2 linked regions of the Rattus norvegicus genome follow. The protein of the gene in region 1 binds, or shares a complex with, the protein of each later gene. Links are inferred from orthologs where the notes say so. Each region holds a gene or a part of one and is shown on either strand. Other genes may lie near its edges. The genes, in order: Uxt and Asdurf.

Region 1 (4,479 bases):
GGCTGAACTTTGCATCCTCATTTTTTTTAGCTCTAGCCCTGAAGAGGAAGGTAGTATGTTTTTTTTTTTTAAAGTACCATCCCAGGTAGCTACGGGGAAAAGGGTAGAGTATTGAAATTTATGATGTCTATTTATTATTTTTTTCTGTTGTTTTATATAGAGGGATTTGTTTTATCACCCAGAGTGGCTTCAAAATCAGGATCCTCCTGCTTGATCTTCTAGAGTCGTAGGATTACAGGTATGAACTACTGCCGTATCTGACTTTTATATATTTTGTGTATGTGTTTGTGTGGTGTGTGATACGGATAGAACCTAGGGCTTCACACATGCTAAGCAAATGTTCTTACCACTTCCCTGCACCCTTAGCCTTTAGATACTATCCTCCTGGAATGAACTCACTCTGTGAGGAGGGAACTCTTTCGGTCAATGAACTTGAGAGCTTCGGCCAGTGTCAGTTCCAGGAAAAAACCGTATCCCAGGGCCACATAGATGCGTGAAGTATCTGGGCTGAGGAAAGAGGTCGGAGGAAGTGGAAGAAGTCTTTATTACCATTTAGCATACTGTATATAGTTTAAGGTGTTTCCTATTCCTTCCTATTCCCCAAGTGAAGGCTCTGTAAGGGCAGATATTTTGTGTTCATTTCTCCCACGACCACAACATGTTGCTTATATCTTAATGTAATATAAAAGCTACTAAAGCCTGGTATACAGAAAATACTAAGAAATACTTGTTCCATGAAAAAAGGGAGAAATTTAGAGGGGAGAGAATACACTCACACCATTGTGTCAACGAAGAAGTTACAGCCCAAATCCACCTGCATATATAACTCCGAGTGATTAGTTTCCTATAGGGCCAGGAGAAAAGAGGTAGGTGTCAGTGGCCAACTTTTAAGGCAGATAAAGGTTTTGTTCTGGGGGTTCTCTTCCCGCCTCCCTTCTTTGTACATATACACAAAGTGGCACCCAATTTAAAAGCCTTTACCTGGAGTCGCTCAATGACATTTCTTAGTTGAAGGTATACAGACAGCTGCTCATATACCTTGTCTCGATGGTCCAGTACCTTTCTGATACGTAGAAATACAACAGTGAATATTAGGCAGTCTTACTCCTTTTGAGATGCAGCACATCATGCCCTACTAGGCATTTTAAGCCAGATGGGGTTGTTCATGGATGCAATCCATGGGCTGAGGCAGGAGGATTATGAGCTCAAGACCAGCTTGTGTAACATAGTGAGACCCTGTGCCTGCTCCCCCAAACACTCATGATGGGGCATAGATAAGGACACAGCCGGCATTTCAATAAATATAGGTGAGACTGTACTTCATCCTGACCTCTACCTCTTGCTAGTAATGTGACTATGGAAAGTAGGAAACCTGTTTGGGATTAAGTTTCCCCACATAGAAAATAGAGATGGTAGTATTAGCATATAGGAGTCATTAGAATCAAGTGTCTACTACAAAGTGTTTTAAATGCTAGCCAAATGGTAAGCATTATATACTTAGAACCTATTACAATGATAAATATTGCATTTTACTCAGTGACTTATGCCAATTAAAATGTCCCATCTTCACCCTAAATATACCTCCCCGTTTCTTTTAGCATGATTACACAGCCCTAGTTCTCAATACCTAACTTTTTATTCAGATTAGTAATGACAGCAATAGTAATCATCTAGTTGTTGAGCTTTTAGTGTATTTCAGGCACTGGAGGCAAATTCCTTTTTCATAAAAGTTATCCAGGTTATTTCCAGAGACAATATCTGAGTTTCTCACGCTGGTATTGAATTTGTAATCACACCAAACAATCCTCTCCTCTCAGCCTCAATATAATAGTAGTTGGGTTTATCTGCATTAAACATGTGTTTATTTTGTGTGCATGTATAGGTGCCATGATACACCTGGAAGCTTTTTGGGAATCTTTTTCCTTCCATCATGTGGCTCCTAGAGATCTACGTTAGGGCATGGTGTTGGAGGCAAGCCATCTTGCTGGCCCTAATTTGCTTGTTTTGAGACATAATATCAGAGCCCAGGCCATACACAACCTCGAAATGTAAGTGAAGGTTACCCTGAACTCTGGATTATCCTGCTTCTGATACCATCCCAAGTACAGGGATTGCAGGCCTCTGTCACCACACTAGTTTTTTTTTTTTAAATAAAATATTGTTATATATTTCAAGGCTGGCTTGTAATCCTGGCTAAAAACGTGAATTTCCCCATCTCTCCACTAGAGATGGCACACACCATGGAGCCTGAGCCTGGCTTTATTCTACTTTTCCCCCTTTGAGACAGTCTGTAGCCCAGTTTGGTCTCCAGCTTACAAAGATCCTCTTGCTTCTCCCTCCTGTGGCAGAATGTGTTGGAGTTGACACATTTAAAACTCAAACACCACGTTAAAAAGGCCTAATAAACTTTTCCATTTCACAGATGAACGAAGTTCATAAAGCCTAGAGAGGCAAAGTAAGGTACAACTTGTTCATAAATATTAATTAAATGGCTTAGTTAGAAACACATTAGGTTCGGAATGACTATTTTAAACCAACAAACATGGTCGGAGCTCTGCTAAAGGGATAAGTTCCAACCAAATCTCAGCCCAGAAGTCAACCTTCTTCCCAGAAATCTGGTTGGCCAACCCGAAAGTTTGGCCGCATTCAATCCCACCCACCACGTCGAATTTCTCAAACGTCACGCCTCCCGCGTTGCCACTCACTGCAAGTCTCGCTGCAGTACGTCACTGATAAAGGCCTCATACCGCAGCACTTTCTCCCCCACCGTATCCAAGGCCCGCCGTTTCGGGGGCGTCGCCATTATGTGCTCCTGGGGATTGAAGGGGGAGGACCCACGTTGAGCGCTCCAGTTTAACTTCACAAAGTTCTCATATTGTGCACGACTTCTTTCGACTCGTGCTATGGAGTTCCTTCTGCCCAACCCTACTTTAGGACTAGTTCACTCACCGATACGCAACCGCGACGTTCACCTAGGGGCCACCAGCAATAACTGTTATAACGAACCGCGGCTTCCGGCTGGCGCGGATGGATGACGCATTTCCAGCACCAGAGCCAACCATAATCGATGGGGCGGGGCTGCCCTTCGTGCGAGAAGACGCATTTAAGGGAAGAGCTGCAGGCGGGGCCTGAATGAGTCCCTGGAGGTAGCAGGGTCACGCTGTTGGCCTGCAGGCAAATAAATAGTCGCGAGCTGGCGGGAGACTGGTTTGGGTGACGTTTAATGAGTTTTGGCGGGTTCTGAGGAAAGGTGGACTTACAGGAAGGTAGGGAGAGGGAGTTAAGTGTTTATAATTTCTTTGAAGTGTGTGTGAGAGCAGTTGTGAGCTACCGTGATGTGGGTGCTGATAATGGAGTTCACATTCTCTGCAAGAGTTGTGTGTTCTTAACTGATGAACCATTTCTGTATTCCTCCCTCCCCACTCTTAAATTCCTTCCTATTTTATGTGTTTTGTTTGCATGTTTATGCACCACATGTGTGCAGTGCCCACAAAGGGTAGAAGAAGTTGTGGGATTCCCTGGAATTGGAACTACTGGCAGTTTGTGTGCACCATGTGGATGCTGGGATCGAATGGCCAATGCTCTTAACTACTGAGGTATCCATATAGTCCCTACTTTTTTCTTTTAGAAACATTTCTAGTCTTTGAGAATTTCATAGATGTATGCAATATATTTTCATTATCTCCACTCCCTATTCCCTCCAACTCGTCCTAGACCCTTCCTACCACATTCCCCTTCCAATTTCATATTCTCTTTAAAACAAAAGACCAAATCAAAACCAAACAAACAAAAACCTCACTGAGACCACTTAAGCATTTAATAATTTAAAAAGCACAAGAGTGCCTATAGACCAGCAAGTATTATGGTACTAATCTATAAGGAAGGCAGGATATCTTGTGGCTCGCGCTCTCTCTCTCTCTCTCTCTCTCTCTCTCTCTCTCTCTCTCTCTCTCTCTCTCTGTGTGTGTGTGTGTGTGTATTACACACATAGTTTGGTTTTCACCCTCCAAAGGGCACATAAAAATGTTTAAACAGAGACAAATTTTAAGAAAATCATCTTAAATGAATTTCTGCTTGATACCTTGTCCCCCAAACCAAAACCAAAACCAAAATTTCGTGCTACATATATTTAAAATTCAATTTGGTGTGCTTAAAACAGGTATTAGGGAGCTATAAAATATTAGTTAATCTTTATTAAGGAGAACAGTTTGGATGGACTAGCGTTGAGTCTGTGTTAAGTCTATTAACTTGTATTTCGTGTATTTTTTTTTTACTTAAAAGATTCTTTTAGGTTATCAAAATGACTTACTGGTTAAAAGGTTCAGGCTAGCAAGTCTTGACAGCCTGAGTTCAATCTGTGGGGTGGCTTGTAGATTACTGCTGTTCCCTGACATAGAGAAAGCACACTTCTTTCTTACAATGGGAGGTAGTTACTATAGAACATTCATAACTTGTCGAACTGCAAGGAATGTTTCTGTT
Region 2 (4,437 bases), on another chromosome or scaffold:
CAGAACTGACAGTGGTTCTTAATCATTGGCAATGAAGTCTGTATTCTGCTTTCTCCTGTGTTGTGCTATGAGAGCACCTACTATGTCACAGTCCATTCACTCCATCATACAGCACCAATATTCCTAGCCACCCATGAGTGGTGTCCCAGGGTCATGACAATCATGTCCTTGCACTGAAAGTCCATGCTTCAGGCCGCAGTACCCATGACATGCTAATAAAAAAGAAGAATGCGACTTGCACAGTGATGTTGAACAGGATCCTCTTATCACCCACTCTTGAACTTCAGGAATATTCAGAAGAGTGATTACCACAGATAAACAAAGTCACTGATCACTATGCCACCCAGAGACGGTTGTTTGCTTCACATGTGTCATCACACCATAGTCTTTCAAATAACAAAGGCTATCACAGCAACAGGTTTATAATTTAGTTCATAAACGAATAATACATGGAGATCTTTTCTGACCAAGGAAGGTTCTTTTATATCACCACATTGGTACAATGTATAGTTCTTTACTGCCTTCAAGCTCAGTCATTTACTGTTCTGTCAACTCTTCACTACAGATGCTGGCAAGTACCTTTGCAGGTAAACACGCATTCATCCTCACAACTGCTTCCACACCGGTTACTCTGAAGTGTCATACAGCATTTACTCATTTTGCCAGTTTGATCTCCAAAAATTTCTGTATTAATTTGCCCTAGCATCTAATATTTCACAAATGACAATATCAGAAATGTCGATTATTAGTTAATTGTAGCTGATTTATTAACACATTTATTTAAAAGCCATGAAATGGGTTAAGTATTTGGAATATTAAAGTTTTCTATGGAAAACTTCATTCTTTTTTGTTAAAATATAATTTTTTCATCTTTGAGATCTACTGACTTATACAGGAAGAACAAATTTAAAACATGCAAAACCAAATGAGGATATCACTTTAGTTTTTAAATTACGATGTTTGAATTTTGCAATGTTAGCATAAATAATCTAAATCATAATTTTAATATTATATATATATATACTATTCAGATTCCCACAGCAACTTACCCGATTCTTCTTCAGGTTAGAAAGTTCATCCACAATAACTTTCTGTTCTTTAATCTATTAAAGTAAAGAAAAAAACCTAAAGTGGAAGTTTTCAAACTATGTTTAGTGAGCACATTTTTAGCAACTGCTTTAAAACAAAACATGGGACTGGGGCCTGTCATGGACTGCCTGTCTAAATGGATACTGTACAGATGCAACCACACTCAGGCTGGAACCAGTAGAAGACAGCTGGAGAAAGAAGCTGACTTAGACTTGCCAGGCGCCAGTTACCACAGCTCACATCTTTAACCAGGGTGAGACACTGTCTAGCCAAATTAATACCAATCTTTTAATTTTATAAGGCCTGGCTGTAGACTAAAAAAGAGAAATGAATGTGGCTTCTCCTCTTTACCAATAGCCAGTGGTTTTATGATGTATGCACTGGATGACAGCCAGACATTCGGATAAAATGAACGGAACGGTACTGAACGAACGCCCTTCCTGCAGTGGTACAACATCATCTCCCACCCTTGTATCATTCTATTTTGAGTATTAAGGACAGCATACTGCTGGTATCCTTAAGCTCAGTTTGTTCCTTATCATCAGATGAAATGCCCAAATAGGCAATAAGTCTACACTGACACAGCTACACAGTGCCAAGAGGCTTGCTATGGCAGTAGCCAGAGTATTCTGAAAACTCATCCCCACCCAAATGAGTGTGCATGGGCAGTGCTAAGAGCTGTACTAACATACGACAAAGCTACATTGAGTACACCCTCCCTGAGATTCAAGGCTGCTTGTACAGCGCTTTTATGCTCACTACAAACGACAGGTATATAATATATCTCACTTTAGGTGACACCACAGAATACTGTGGCACACTGGAAATAAGGCAATGTACTGAAGATGTCATACAGGACAGAAAAAAAATATGGAATTCAGGATGTTTAATAACTGAAAAGGCTGCACCCACACCCCCTCCAATCCACACGTTTAAAGATTTTTGTCTGTAACTGGAAGTTGAGATCACTGTACAGTTCAGGTATGGGGTTGCCTCCCTGAAATCCTGACTATTAGGCAAGAGAATAATTCAAGGTGATCCTCAAACAATATTTGAGGCTGGCCTGAGCTACTTATGAAACCCTATCCCAAAAAGAGGAAGGGAAAAAATTAATCTGCTACAGTCCTGGTTGAATAATAAAGAGATGACCAAACTGATGTTTTTAGGATCACTTAAAGGTGAGAATATATTTTAAGGTCAACAGGCAACTGATAACTTCGGTTAAGAAAATTTTGCCTGAGTCTGGAAGAACGGGCAGATTTCTAAACTTTCATGATGGACGTCATGGATGGCGTCCAGGCGGGTACATGGCTAAATGGATGAAGCACAGCCAACGAGCAACAGATCACATGTGTGAAGGGTTCCGAGAGGAGAGTGGTGCAAACGCGTAAAGGAAAAACGTCATTAAGACCTCTGTCTCAGTATCACTGTTGTTTGCAGTGGATAAATCTGTGCCTCCATCATAGCAAATCTGCAGGACGCAGGGGAAACCAGCGGCCGGTGCTGAGAATGGACCGGTGAGGCTACTGGGCACCGATGCGACCGCGGGACCCGTTTCCCGCCGCCCGCCGCCCACCGCCCATCCTCGGCGTCCCACGGCACCTTACTGCTAAGGGCCTCGGCGTGCGCGGTCGATGTGCGGGTGGGTCCCGGCGCGGCGCTGTCTCCGGGGTGCTCCGCACCGCTAGGCATCGCCACGCCGCACCGAACGGAGGAACCGCGGTGGATGAAACAGCAGGCGGCAGGCCCAACCGGAAGCCAGTGTTCCTTTCAGGACCCTGCCCCTTCCGGAACCTCGACCAATGGAGTGCGCATATTTACGCCTGCTCAGTAGCAGGCGTGGATACTAGATCCTGGAACTCCGACTTTAAGTAGCTGTGCATCAGCGCACATTAGTTTTGGCTAAAGGTTCGTCTGGCTTGGCTGGAGAGTCTATGAATGGTCTGTGTTGCCCCCTAGCGGATGCTATGTAAAAATAAATCACTAATCAGTAGTGTGCCTAACACTGTGGTCTTGGCTTTTTTTTTTTAATTTTTTAAATTGGATATTTTTATTTACATTTCAAATGTTATTCCCCTTTCCGGTTTCCCATTCATAAACACCGTATCCCATCCCCACTTCCCCTTCTTCTATGAAGGTGTTCCCCGTCCCCAACCACCAACCGCTTCCCACCTCCCCACCCTGACATTCCCCAACAATGAGGATCCAGCCTTGGTAAGACCAAGGACTTTTCCTCCCCTTAGTGCCCAACAAGGCCATACTCTGCTACATATGCAGCTGTAGCCATGGGTTTGTCCATGTATATAGTCTTTGGATGGTGATTTAGTCCCTGGAGCTCTGGTTGGTTGGTATTGTTGTTCTTATGGGGTTGCAAGCTCCTTCACCTCCTTCAATCCTTTCTCTAACTCCTCCAATGGTACCCCGTTCTCAGTTCAATGGTTTGCTGCTAGCATTTGCCTGTGTATTTGTAATGCTCTGACTGAGCCTCTCAGGAGACAGCTGTATCAGGCTCCTGTCAGCATGCACTTCTGGGCATCAGAAATATTGTATGTTTATGGGCTGGAACCTCAGGTAGGGCAGGTTCTGAATGGCAATTCCTTCAGTCTCTGTTCCAAGCTTTGTCTCCATATCTCCTCCTATGAATATTTTTACTCCCCCTTTTAAGAAGAACTGAAGCATCCACAGTTTGGTCGTCCTTCTTAAGCTTCATGTGGTCTGTGGATTGGATCTTGGGTAATTCGAGATTTTTGGCTAATATCCACTATCAGTGAGTGTGCATACCATGTGGTTTTTTTTTTTTTGTTTTTTTGTTTTTTGTTTTTTTTTTTGTGATTGGGTTACCTCACTAGGGATGATATTTTCTAGTTCCATCGATTTGCCTATGGATTTCATGAAGTCATTATTTTTGTAGAAATATACCACATTTTATATCCATCCTCTGTTGAGGGTTATTTGATTCTTTCCAGCTTCTGGCTATTATAAATAAGGCTACTGTGAACATAGTGGAGCATGTGTCCTTGTTATACGTTAGAGCATCTTTTGGGTATATGCCCAGGAGTGGTATAACTGGGTCCTAAGATAGTACTACTTCCAATTTTCTGAGGAACCTCCAGATTGATTTCCAGAGTGGCTGTACCAGCTTGCAAACCCACCAACAATGGAGGAGTGTTCCTCTTTCTCCACATCCATGTCAGCATCTGTTGTCACCTGAGTTTTTGTTCTTAGCCATTCTCACTGGTGTGAGGTGGAATCTCAGGGTTGTTTTGATTTGCATTTCCCTGATGACTAAGGATGTTGAACATTTCTTTAGTTACCTCTTAGCCATTTGATACTCCTCAGTTTAGAATT

The links.
Region 2: Uxt (region 1) and Asdurf share a complex: the UniProt entries of both Homo sapiens proteins name them as parts of the PAQosome complex. The link is inferred for Rattus norvegicus from reciprocal best matches to the Homo sapiens genes UXT and ASDURF.

The regions. Positions count from the first base shown.
Region 1 is NC_086039.1:3,678,234-3,682,712, reverse strand, and holds the start of Uxt (protein UXT), read right to left. Parts: upstream 2,810-4,479; 5' UTR 2,804-2,809; coding exon 2,706-2,803; exon of another isoform or gene 2,661-2,705; intron 1,064-2,660; coding exon 982-1,063; intron 845-981; coding exon 777-844; intron 508-776; coding exon 400-507; intron 1-399. UniProt on the Homo sapiens protein: Involved in gene transcription regulation. Acts in concert with the corepressor URI1 to regulate androgen receptor AR-mediated transcription. Together with URI1, associates with chromatin to the NKX3-1 promoter region.
Region 2 is NC_086027.1:55,617,200-55,621,636, reverse strand, and holds the start of Asdurf (ASNSD1 upstream open reading frame protein), read right to left. Parts: upstream 2,839-4,437; 5' UTR 2,782-2,838; coding exon 2,692-2,781; intron 1,104-2,691; coding exon 1,050-1,103; intron 1-1,049.